Linked DNA regions of Arabidopsis thaliana. The protein of the gene in region 1 binds, or shares a complex with, the protein of each later gene. Each region holds a gene or a part of one and is shown in the gene's direction. Other genes may lie near its edges. The genes, in order: U2AF35B and AT1G60900.

Region 1 (5,044 bases):
ATGAATTTAGTTTAGTAAAATTTTAGATTTAAGAAAAATAAAACCTTAAACTCTAAAATTTTGATTACAAAAAAAAAGTCAAAGACTTTCTAATGTAAGGTGCTTGAACTTTGATTACAAAATAAAAACTTTGTTTTTATTAATCAAATAAATGAGTTGGCTTTGCTATCCATTAAGACAATTATGTTTGAAAAACTCGATTACGTGAATTTGATGAATGGTTTTGGAGGTAAAAATCTAAATAGAGGTATATTTAAAAAATATAATTTTGTTTTTTTTTCCTATTTTTTTGCTTACAAAATGCTTATAAAGTTCAAAAAAAAAAATCTATAAAGTTTTAGTATAACTTTTATATACTATTAATTTTTTGATTATGCAAAAAACAAATAAAGGGCATAAATGTTTTATATCTGTAGGGCATTCCTACAAATATTAAAAGTTTTAGTATAACTTTTAATATATATATATTATTGTTTTTCAAATTAATTCTTACTAGTCAAAGTTAATGGGATTGTTAGAAATTATTCACGTAAACAAACAAATATATATTTATATATATATGTATATATACTATTATTATTCAAATTAATTCTTACTAGTCAAAGTTAATGGGATTGTTAGAAATTATTCATGTAAACAAAGAAATATATAAAATTTTCTTCTATTTAAAAAAGCAAAAAAATTGACTCTTGAATTTTGGTATAGTACTGGTTTAGCTAAGGATGTACTAAAATTTATTATTGAAGTTGATCGATGAAGATGACAACACCGTACTATATATATACACATACTAAGAGGGAGAAAATAAAACACTTAGTTAAGTATACATCGAGGAAAATGACTTTCAAAATTAAGAAGAATGGTTTAATGGTGCAATTGCGTATTAGTTCTCATATGATTTAATTTTTAAATATCTATTTTCACTTTTCGTATAAATTTTACTTATTCTAATAATATCTCTTAAATTTATAAGATCTTGTGTGACCGTTTTTTGGTATGTGTCACTAGTTACATTATTGAATTTAAGGGTTCGATAAAAACTTATGGAATGATCGGGTAAATATATTTAACCACGGATACTTATTTGATTTTACATCTAGGTTTTTTAATGTTAAAAGTAGATTGATCACCTAAATTTAAGTCTAGGGATATGTACGAAACAAAAATGTTTAACAACATACTCGTAAGAACCTTAAATGAGCAATACTTTCTTTACCAATGAAAGCTGCTGTTAGAGGGCATCCTGAACATGTGGAGGTTAAAATTAATGACTCTCTAACTATTTTGTTCAAACAGAATTTCATAGATTTTCCATTTTTTATTTTACTCATTTTGTAAATAACCTCATTTTACCATTGATCAAATAAATTTAACATTTCATATAAAAAAAAACCTCATTTGAAAATTGTATTTAAGTATTCAATTATTTGGAGATTGTATTCAAGTATTTAATTTGACAAATATAATTTGGTTAAATATTTCAAGTATTCTAAAAACATTCAGATATTTCAGTTATTTCAGATAGTTTGGTTATTTTGAGTGTAAACATAACTAATATCTTTAAATTATAAATTATAAATTTGGCTATCTTGATTATTTGAAATATAATTAAGAATAACATTTTAGATATATAATTGTATTTCAGATAAGTCTGACATTCACTAGATTTTTAATTTATTTTTAATTTTATTCCCATATTTTTTTTTTTTCTTCTCATAAGTGTATTATATTAACCACCAAAAGAGGAAACAAAGCATTAAAGCTTACAACGATATGTGCAGAAAGAAAAGTTAGGCCCAACATAGCCCATAAGATTAACATCTACGGCATAAAGATGTTTTGACATTTGGACTCTATCCAATACACGTGTCCACGTGATATTACAACTGCAACACAAGATGAAGAGTCATCGGAAGTGTACCGACATCAACCTTCGCCGCCGATGAACACCGAATCCGGTGAGGAATGCATCGCCGAAACATCGCACAATGAATCCTTGTAACCACCGAAATAAAACTGAACGGTGCTCCATTTAAAAGACACAGCAAAAAGGAATCATAATAAGCATCGGAATATTCTTCAATCTTTCAACCCGAAGACATAATCGCTTGATAGATTTCTGCAAATCGAAGTTTCTAAAGACACAAGACAGAAATTAATCTTAAGTAACTAGCACCTAAAACTAATTACCATCTCAAATCTGTTGAGATTTATTGAAAAACAAAACTAAAATATCAAAGCAATCAGCATAAAACTGATTGACTACGAGCAAGGATACAAGCGGCCAAAACCTCTTATGAAAGCAGGATTTGCCGTACGGGAACCGGTCATCTCCACTAAAAGAGCTAGAAGATACCGGGCAAAAGCCCAAATTATTTGGAACGGCTATCATCGGAAAATTCTTGTAGGTGGAGACAAAAAGCTTTCCCTCTCTGAAGGTTTTGTGAGAGAGAAGAGAGAGAGAAGCTTTAGCTCTTTTTATTCCCATATTTTTTTAAAAAAATCATTCAGATATTAATTATCTAGTTCTGTTCGTTTCCTTCCAATCCAGTTCAGTTTAGTTTGGTTTATTCGGTTCTGAGCCGGAGCAACAAAAGGATCAATCTTAAAATCCTCGTTATGTTATGACGATTTTGACGAGGACCAATATTGTAACTTTCTATAGTTTATTTTATTATTCCTCCTTGTAGAATAGTTTATTTGCAAAATAAACCCATATTAATATCTCTTTCTCTTTTTTTCACCACACTCTCTCTCTCTCTCCGGCTCACACGAGTCGCTAATCAAATAAACCTAAACCCTAGATCGTGATCGGCAACGGCACCTCCTCGTCGGCGATAGCTTCTCTTCCACTAAAAGAAAATCCTCTTCGGTATTCTTCTTCCTCTAATCAATCTCTCTCTCCGTTTCGGATTCTCATCTCCACTCGATGACTAGAAACGTCTCGATCTGTTTTAGATTTGACAACGATTCATGATTCTGATTCGTTCATTGATTTGATTCTCTTTGATTTTGTGTTAACTCTCGTTTATAAGCTTAGATTTGGTTCTCGTCTCTGATTCTGAATCGTTCTTGTAGTGATTTGATTTATCATATAAGCGTAGAAGAACAATTTGTGTTTAGTTGAATTTGATTTTTGTTATGTTTAGGTGAGAATGGCAGAGCATTTAGCTTCAATCTTTGGTACTGAAAAGGATAGAGTGAATTGTCCGTTTTACTTTAAGATTGGTGCTTGTCGTCACGGTGACCGGTGCTCACGGCTTCATAACCGTCCCACCATCTCGCCGACGCTTCTCCTCTCGAACATGTACCAGAGACCTGACATGATAACTCCAGGTGTGGATCCTCAGGGACAGCCGTTAGACCCGAGTAAGATCCAAGACCACTTTGAGGATTTCTACGAAGATATTTTCGAAGAACTCAACAAGTTTGGTGAAGTGGAGAGTCTCAATGTTTGTGACAATCTTGCTGATCATATGATTGGGAATGTGTATGTTCTGTTTAAGGAGGAGGATCACGCAGCTGCTGCGTTGCAGGCTTTGCAGGGGAGATTTTATTCCGGTCGTCCTATCATTGCTGATTTCTCTCCTGTGACGGATTTTAGGGAAGCTACTTGTAGGCAGTATGAAGAAAACAGCTGTAACCGTGGTGGGTACTGTAATTTCATGCATGTGAAGCAGATTTCGAGGGAGCTTAGGAGGAAATTGTTTGGGAGGTATCGTCGTTCATACCGTCGGGGAAGCAGAAGTCGAAGCAGGAGTATAAGCCCTCGACGTAAGAGAGAGCATTCGCGAGAGCGAGAGAGAGGGGACGTTAGGGACCGTGACCGGCATGGAAATGGGAAAAGGAGCAGTGATAGATCAGAGAGGCATGATCGGGATGGTGGTGGAAGGAGGAGACATGGAAGCCCGAAACGGAGCAGAAGCCCACGAAATGTGAGAGAAGGAAGCGAGGAAAGGAGGGCGAGAATTGAGCAATGGAACCGAGAACGTGATGAGGGAGTTTAAGGGTATCGTTTGGGCTGATTACTTCATAAAAATCGGTAAAATCTTGTAATGGATATTCATTTGGTGTTCTTTTTTTGAACTTGAAAAATGAGTGGCATGAACTCCTTAGATGATGTAAGGTGTTTACTGTATTTTGTAGAATTTTTGTTTAGAAACTAGTTCGTGAGGCAAATGATGGGTTCAGTTTTTCTAAGTTAATGTGGTAATGATCCCTTGGTTATTGTTCTTTATGATTGTCCCTTGCAATGTCTTCTTATAAGGTTTAAACACTTTGTATTGTTCGGGGAAAGAGATAAATGTTGTACGATTTTTTTGGGTGGATTGAATGAAGAAACCGAACCCAACCCAAATATTAACCCAAATATTATAAATACCCGAATGGGTGCTATGAGCCTAAACCCAAAAAACCCGAAGCGTATCGGAGCGTGTATTCGAATGCCAAGCCCTAGTCAGTTTTATTATTGTTAGTGTCCACTTTTCATGTTTAATGGATTTTGTTCTCGATAACTCAAAAAGTTATTATTTACAAGTGTGGTATCAGAGCATGGTTCATGATGCTACGGGAAACCATTTTCAATGTTTTATTAAGTAAATGTGTCGCAAAAGATGTTAGGAATTGGTTCAATCACTTGCTAAAACTTAAGTAGATGGGATTATATGACTTATCCTTTTTGTTGTGTTGTAGTATGCCGCCAAAGAGATCTCATGGTTGTGATTCAGTGGGAGAGGAGGGACGGTCCATGGGTCTGCCACCCCAAAGATACTATCTTTTGTGAGAGAGTGGGGAGACAGTATATCGGAAAACCGCTGACAAAATTTTCCATAGAAGGAGCAACAACAGTGGCTAAGCTCCACCATCTTTGTATGTACAAGCAATTCTGGCAAAACTTGACAGAGAGCATTCTGGAACAGTAAAATATCTCCAGGCAACGGCTCCATGCCGAGAGAAGACCAGGGAGAGAAAGAGATATAGAGTGAAGGAGATATAGTTCCAACAAATTTTAAGTTTAAGAAATGAACATTCATCTTTTAGGGCT
Region 2 (6,635 bases), on another chromosome or scaffold:
AAATAGAACTGTTTAGGAGAATATAAAACTTTTACGTTGTCTCTACCTCTTCAAATTCACCAAATTTATTTTTTAAATAGTTTCCATCACTTGTCAATGTCACATCACCTATCATCTATCTCTCTTTTTCTCCCTCTCGTCCTTTTTCATCACTTTCATCATTCATGCATCTCTGCCCCCATTCTCTATTTTCTTCTATATTTCTCTAGTCAACCAAAAATTTTGCCTTAAGGAAACCAAAAGAGAAATCCAATTGAAAAGGATATTAAAATTAAGGGTAATATTAAAAAGAAAATTTTGGGCCCAACATCAGAACACCATTTTATGACTGTTTCTATTGTCGACTGTTTGACAAACTGAACAAACAATGGCTTTGATTGGTGAACAAAATCAAAGCACTACAATTTCTACAATTTATAAATTTATCAATCAAATATCAAAATTGTTACACTGTTTTTTTACAGTTTTTCTGTACTATTTTTCTTTTTCTTTTTTATACATCATTATGTACCATCTTACCATTATAACTACCAGGTAAAAAACTTGTAAATTTTTATATTATTAATAAGACCCAATATATATATATATATATATATATATATATATATATATAAGTTAGCAATCCAATGGTCTTGCAGTCTTTCATTATTGTAATGATGCTTATTAGGTTTTGTACTAAAATTAATGCTAATCAATTTAGAATTTACATAATAATATTTAGAATCATCTGTTTTTGTAACTATCTTAGTTTTAGAACTAAAAATAAAATAACCCAAAAAAAACTGGTAAGTACTAGTCTCTAATAGCTATGCTTTCTTTCTACAATATTATGGTAGTCAAATTATAAAAATATGGGGATGTTTCGAATCTTTCTACCGTAAAACTGGTTGTGTCCAAACGTATATATTTGGGATACAATAAAATAAAAAATAAGACTATTAAGCCAATGAATCATAATGAGGCCATAATTTTAAACGATTAATGGGCTCCTAAATATCTATCTTCATAATTCACACTCCACATGAATCTATTCCTAGTAACCCTAAGTGTTTTAATAATAGGATCTAGAGATGTTCGAAGATATAATTGCATTTTACTTTTCGTCGTACTTATGACGAAGCAAGCCTTGGACATCTCCGTTTTAAAACAGGGATCTCATGATCTTGAAAAGGATTCTTCAAGAAGCACAGAAAAAGACAAATTCGTATGAATTATTGACTCATATCAAAGTTATTTCATATAAACAAAATCCTATGAATTATTGACACTAGTCAAAACTCAATGAACAGATTGATTGGCCGTGAATGCTACGGTCCATGAAGGGATCGAGTGTGGACCAGTCTCTGCAATATATGTTGTTAGGTTGACTTGTTTTCACTAGAATCGTATGTTTTTCCAATCCATCAGTACGTTTAACTTCAAACCACCGTCAAATGAAAGCTAATTTAAACTTCTTCTTTTTTTGTAATATTTTGTGTCAACAATTGAATTTGATCCATGGTGAGAGAAACCTCTAAACGCCGGAGATATTTGTGATGTTTTAACGTGGTCTTTCATCTTCAATTGCTAGTTACGCCTAGAAACATATGTGACTTTAAACTATCAGATAAAGACTTATAAAACACACTTTTAAAAAGTCATAAACAAAGACATCTAATAATAATCAACCCTTAATTACACAAAAAATAATAATGTAAAACAATATTAGAATGATCAATTTTTAAAATATTTAGTTTTTTTTTTTTTTTGGTGATAGAAACTAAAAATTTAGACTATAAGCCGATAAAGCTGATAAGCCCATTAAGTATAATGAGACCCTAGTTTTCAAATTTGGACTAGACAAGCCCATTTACGGTTTTGGTGTAACACCAAAAAATACTGTTCAATTTACAATAATACCCATATATCACTTCATCTTCCTCGAAGAATCTTCATAATTTTTAATTCATCCTCCATTAGAATCCCTAGGGTTTTCTTCCATACACAATCAGACTCAACGATAAGTACCAATCGGAGAAGAGATCACAAGTGGATGATGAGTTACGAAGGCAACGGAGATGGTGTCGCTATCTCCACCGAAAACCACAACGAGAACTACATATCTCTAGAGAGCTCGCCTTTTCATGAAGACTCCAAGTCTCGAGTATGTTACACTTTCTTCTTTACATATCTTGCGTTCGATTCTGTAGCTTTTAGGTTTCTCTCGTGAATTAGACTGGTAATCATAATTTGTTCTCCACTTGTATTGTAATTTGGTACAATTCTCGGATTCTGCTTGTTGAATTTATGTTTTTGATAGTTTGATTTGAAGGATTCACTGGATTTAGAGTATATATTATCATGTTAAGTTCATATGTTCTCTTTAGAAATCTGGGGATAGTATATGAGAGAAGCCTTTTGACATTTGTTTCCTGCAGGAATCTCATGATCTTAAAAAGGATTCTTCGAAAATCAGTGAGAAAGACAATGAAAATGGACGTGATAAAGACGGAAACAAAGATCGTGATCGTGAGAAGGATCGTGATAGGGAGAAGAGCAGAGACAGAGATAGGGAGAAAAGCAGAGATAGAGATAGGGATAGGGAGAGAAGTAAGGATAGGCAACGAGACCGTCATCATAGAGATCGTCATAGGGACCGTAGCAGAGAACGTAGTGAGAAAAGAGATGATTTGGATGATGATCATCATCGCAGAAGTCGAGACCGTGATAGGTACTCATTAGTGTGTTGCAATTGTTTTTGTAGTTTTAGATTGTTTTATTCTTAAAATTGAAGGTGTAGTCATTTCTCGACAGGAGGAGGTCTCGCGATCGAGACAGAGAGGTGAGACACAGGCGACGGTCACGCTCTCGGTCAAGGAGCCGCTCTGAACGTAGGTCAAGGTCAGAACATAGACATAAGTCTGAACATAGATCACGCTCACGGTCGCGATCAAGGTCAAAGAGGTACCTGGGCTCTCCTGCTATTTTTATCTTTTCTAACTAGTTCTTTCCGTGGCCACATTGCAATGTGTTATGATATTGATGTCAAATCAAATAAAACCATTATTGTTTAGTATTTGATGTCTTTGTTTTGTTGACACAATATGATTATCATGGTCTTCTACTGGGTTGAACGGTCCCTCCTTATATGATTACCAATATTTTAGTCTGATCTGGGTCATTGATGTTTATGTGTGTTTCATACGTTTACTTGGCATTATTTTTTCGAACTCGTCTCTACTGATGTCTAACCAATTATATTTTGCTCTTTCAGCAAGAGGAGAAGTGGATTTGATATGGCGCCTCCTGATATGTTAGCTGCTACTGCTGTTGCTGCAGCAGGTATTTGCTTCATCATCTACTCAGGGTTATTATATTTCTTAACTGCTTGTTGTTTTTGATTTTACGTAGTTTGGAAAGATCATAGTCAATTACACGGTGTGACTTTGGTAAGCTGCAATTTTATTGTTTACTCGTGAACAAAGAGGACTTTGAAGTCTTGCTTTCTTCATAGGATGTCTTGTTATTTTTGTTTGACTGGTGGTTCTGGAACTGAGAAATTTTTTGTTTGTGTTTTTTTGGTGGTGTTTGTTTGTTTCTGTGTCTTGTCTTTTTGTAGTAAGAAGGCTATGTTGGGTTAGTTGCCCCACTGTGCTGACAATGAGCCGACCTCTCTAGCTTTAATTGTACAAGGAGGAATCAGTGCAACGGTTGTCATGGGTATTTTTCATCTTCGACTGGCAACTATATGCCTGTTTTCGAGCCTTACAATCTCTGACAACTAAAACGAATATTACATCACAACTTTTCATTTTAATATTCATAAGTTGTTGGTATACTTTCTACTTGTGGGTTTTGTAAGTAGCAAGGTGTTATCTGTAGCTTTGTACTTGTTGGTAGGTCTGCTCCTCCGGGAAACATAATAATGTATCTAACAAACATTTTTATGACGCATACTACTTTACCTAGCAGGCCAGGTTCCTAGTGTGCCAACTACTGCTACTATTCCAGGGATGTTCTCAAACATGTTTCCAATGGTCCCTGGTCAGGTATAAAAATTTGTATTTTTGTGTCTCTTATGTTCCTCTTTTCTTTTGTTTTATGCGAACATGCTCAGAACTTCTCAATCTTTTTTCTCACATAGCAACTAGGTGCGCTTCCTGTACTGCCAGTTCAGGCAATGACTCAACAGGTACGATCTATCAATCTATCTTATTCTTAGGTTCTTCACCTTTTGTCACGATTCCCTTCCTAAAATATGTAGTCGCAGGCAACTAGGCATGCTCGGCGAGTCTATGTTGGTGGCCTTCCACCAACTGCTAATGAACAGGTTTGTTACTTTTGTTTTGTTTAAGGTTTTGTGACTTTTTGTTTATTATTGTCTATTTAAACCACATTTCAATATCCATTGTATGCCTACTGAGAATGGGTTTTCATGTCCTAGTCGGTGTCAACGTTCTTTAGCCAAGTGATGTCGGCCATTGGGGGAAACACTGCTGGGCCAGGTATTGAAAAGTTCATTATATTTTTGTCATATTGGCCGCAAGTCTATACGAAATCTCATCCTTTTTTTGGATTATTAATTCATAGGTGATGCGGTGGTCAATGTTTATATAAACCACGAAAAGAAGTTTGCTTTTGTAGAGATGAGATCTGTTGAGGAGGCTAGTAACGCAATGGCATTAGACGGCATTATATTAGAGGTGATTTATTAGCTCTTCTACACTTTAGATGTTTGGTGTTTATTAGTTACAATCTGTATTATGAGTATTGAAACCTATCTGAAATCATAGCTTTTTTCATCTCTAGGGAGTTCCTGTAAAGGTGAGGAGGCCAACTGACTATAACCCGTCTCTTGCTGCAACTCTTGGTCCGAGCCAGCCTAATCCCAACCTCAACTTAGGGGCTGTTGGATTGTCTTCAGGGTCTACTGGTGGGCTTGAGGGTCCCGACCGCATTTTTGTGGGCGGACTTCCCTATTACTTCACAGAGGTACAGATCAGGGAGCTCTTGGAGTCTTTTGGGCCCCTAAGAGGTTTCAACTTGGTCAAAGACAGGGAGACTGGAAATTCGAAGGGATATGCATTCTGTGTTTACCAAGATCCGTCAGTAACAGATATTGCATGTGCCGCTCTAAACGGGATTAAGATGGGTGATAAGACACTTACAGTTAGGCGTGCAATCCAGGGTGCAATTCAACCTAAACCCGAGCAAGAAGAAGTCTTACTTTATGCCCAACAACAGATTGCTTTGCAGGTAAAGGATTCTGATTCACTCTATCTAAATGATCAGTAATGCTAAATCTGTCTCAAACTTTGTTGCAGAGGCTTATGTTCCAACCAGGAGGTACTCCCACCAAGATTGTCTGTTTGACTCAAGTGGTTACAGCTGATGATCTTAGAGACGATGAAGAATATGCAGAGATAATGGAGGACATGCGACAAGAAGGTGGAAAATTCGGTAAGCAATTAGATTTTCTTATTGTCTGTTCTGACATTATACCAATAGCACATTACTGAGGCTCATGGTCTAAAATGAACTTTGATAAATCATTGTTGTGTGTGTAGGTAACTTAGTGAATGTTGTGATTCCGAGGCCTAATCCAGATCATGACCCAACACCAGGAGTTGGGAAGGTTAGATTTCAGTCCTCAGATACAAATGTCTACCAAATTCATATATAAATTGCATACTCTAATGGTAATACTAATGCAGGTTTTCTTAGAGTATGCGGATGTGGATGGCTCATCAAAGGCCAGATCGGGGATGAATGGAAGAAAATTTGGAGGAAACCAAGTAGTGGCTGTGTATTACCCCGAAGACAAGTATGCCCAAGGCGACTACGAAGACTGAGCTATCTATCGTCTTCTTCTTAAGCTTTTAGTTTGGATCTCTTAGCAACAAGTTTGGTTCTTTTTTATTTTTAAGTTTTTTACATGTTTAGTTCTCTCTCTACTAAATGGAGAAATTTGTCTAGAATCTGACTGCAATAGTACTTGTCCAGGCACAATCAATTAAGGTGTGTGTTGGTAATAGTAGCTTTTGGTTTCATTGAACACTAACCAAACCACATCAGTTTATATTATTGTTCTTTTAAAAACTAAAAGACCAAACCACATCAGTTTCTAAATGCAATGCTGGAACATGTGCAATTGCTCTCACTAAACGTGAAATACTGGATTTATATTAGAAAAGTAAGATAGTAGGCAAGTAGCACCAGTGGTCTAGTGGTAGAATAGTACCCTGCCACGGTACAGACCCGGGTTCAATTCCCGGCTGGTGCATTTGAGCGTTGATGAAATTTGCTTTAAGCTAAGGTTGGGTCCTTAGCAATTCTCCGATGAATCGGATAATATAGCCTCATATCTGAGCTCATTTGTTTTTTATTTTATTTTACAACGAAAGTTACATGTCATGCTTTCACAAGACACATCTCATGTTACACGAACTTGAAGTTATGCCTGATAACACATTAATTTATAATTTATTAAAATATATATAACAATAATTTGAAGTTAAAAAAAATGAAAGAATTTTAAAATAATTAAAATTTGATAATGTAACAAGTTCCATATCACATCAATAATGTAGATTAGTGATAAATTTTTTTTCATATTTAGTAGAAAATGATTTGTATATATGAATACATAATTAAAT

The links.
Region 2: U2AF35B (region 1) and AT1G60900 share a complex: the UniProt entries of both Arabidopsis thaliana proteins name them as parts of the spliceosome.

The regions. Positions count from the first base shown.
Region 1 is NC_003076.8:17,169,408-17,174,451, reverse strand, and holds U2AF35B (Zinc finger C-x8-C-x5-C-x3-H type family protein), read left to right. Parts: upstream 1-1,664; 5' UTR 1,665-2,194; coding exon of another isoform or gene 2,195-2,488; 5' UTR 2,489-2,872; intron 2,873-3,149; 5' UTR 3,150-3,155; coding exon 3,156-4,007; 3' UTR 4,008-4,361; downstream 4,362-5,044. Other genes in the region: AT5G42825 (uncharacterized protein), read right to left, coding at 2,195-2,488. UniProt on the Arabidopsis thaliana protein: Necessary for the splicing of pre-mRNA. Probably active at the 3' splice sites.
Region 2 is NC_003070.9:22,421,976-22,428,610, forward strand, and holds AT1G60900 (U2 snRNP auxilliary factor, large subunit, splicing factor), read left to right. Parts: upstream 1-1,918; 5' UTR 1,919-2,032; coding exon 2,033-2,143; intron 2,144-2,417; coding exon 2,418-2,710; intron 2,711-2,793; coding exon 2,794-2,943; intron 2,944-3,253; coding exon 3,254-3,321; intron 3,322-3,951; coding exon 3,952-4,028; intron 4,029-4,123; coding exon 4,124-4,171; intron 4,172-4,249; coding exon 4,250-4,309; intron 4,310-4,423; coding exon 4,424-4,484; intron 4,485-4,569; coding exon 4,570-4,682; intron 4,683-4,788; coding exon 4,789-5,235; intron 5,236-5,303; coding exon 5,304-5,439; intron 5,440-5,546; coding exon 5,547-5,614; intron 5,615-5,693; coding exon 5,694-5,831; 3' UTR 5,832-6,078; downstream 6,079-6,635. Other genes in the region: AT1G60913 (Rapid alkalinization factor (RALF) family protein), read right to left, coding at 6,630-6,635. UniProt on the Arabidopsis thaliana protein: Necessary for the splicing of pre-mRNA.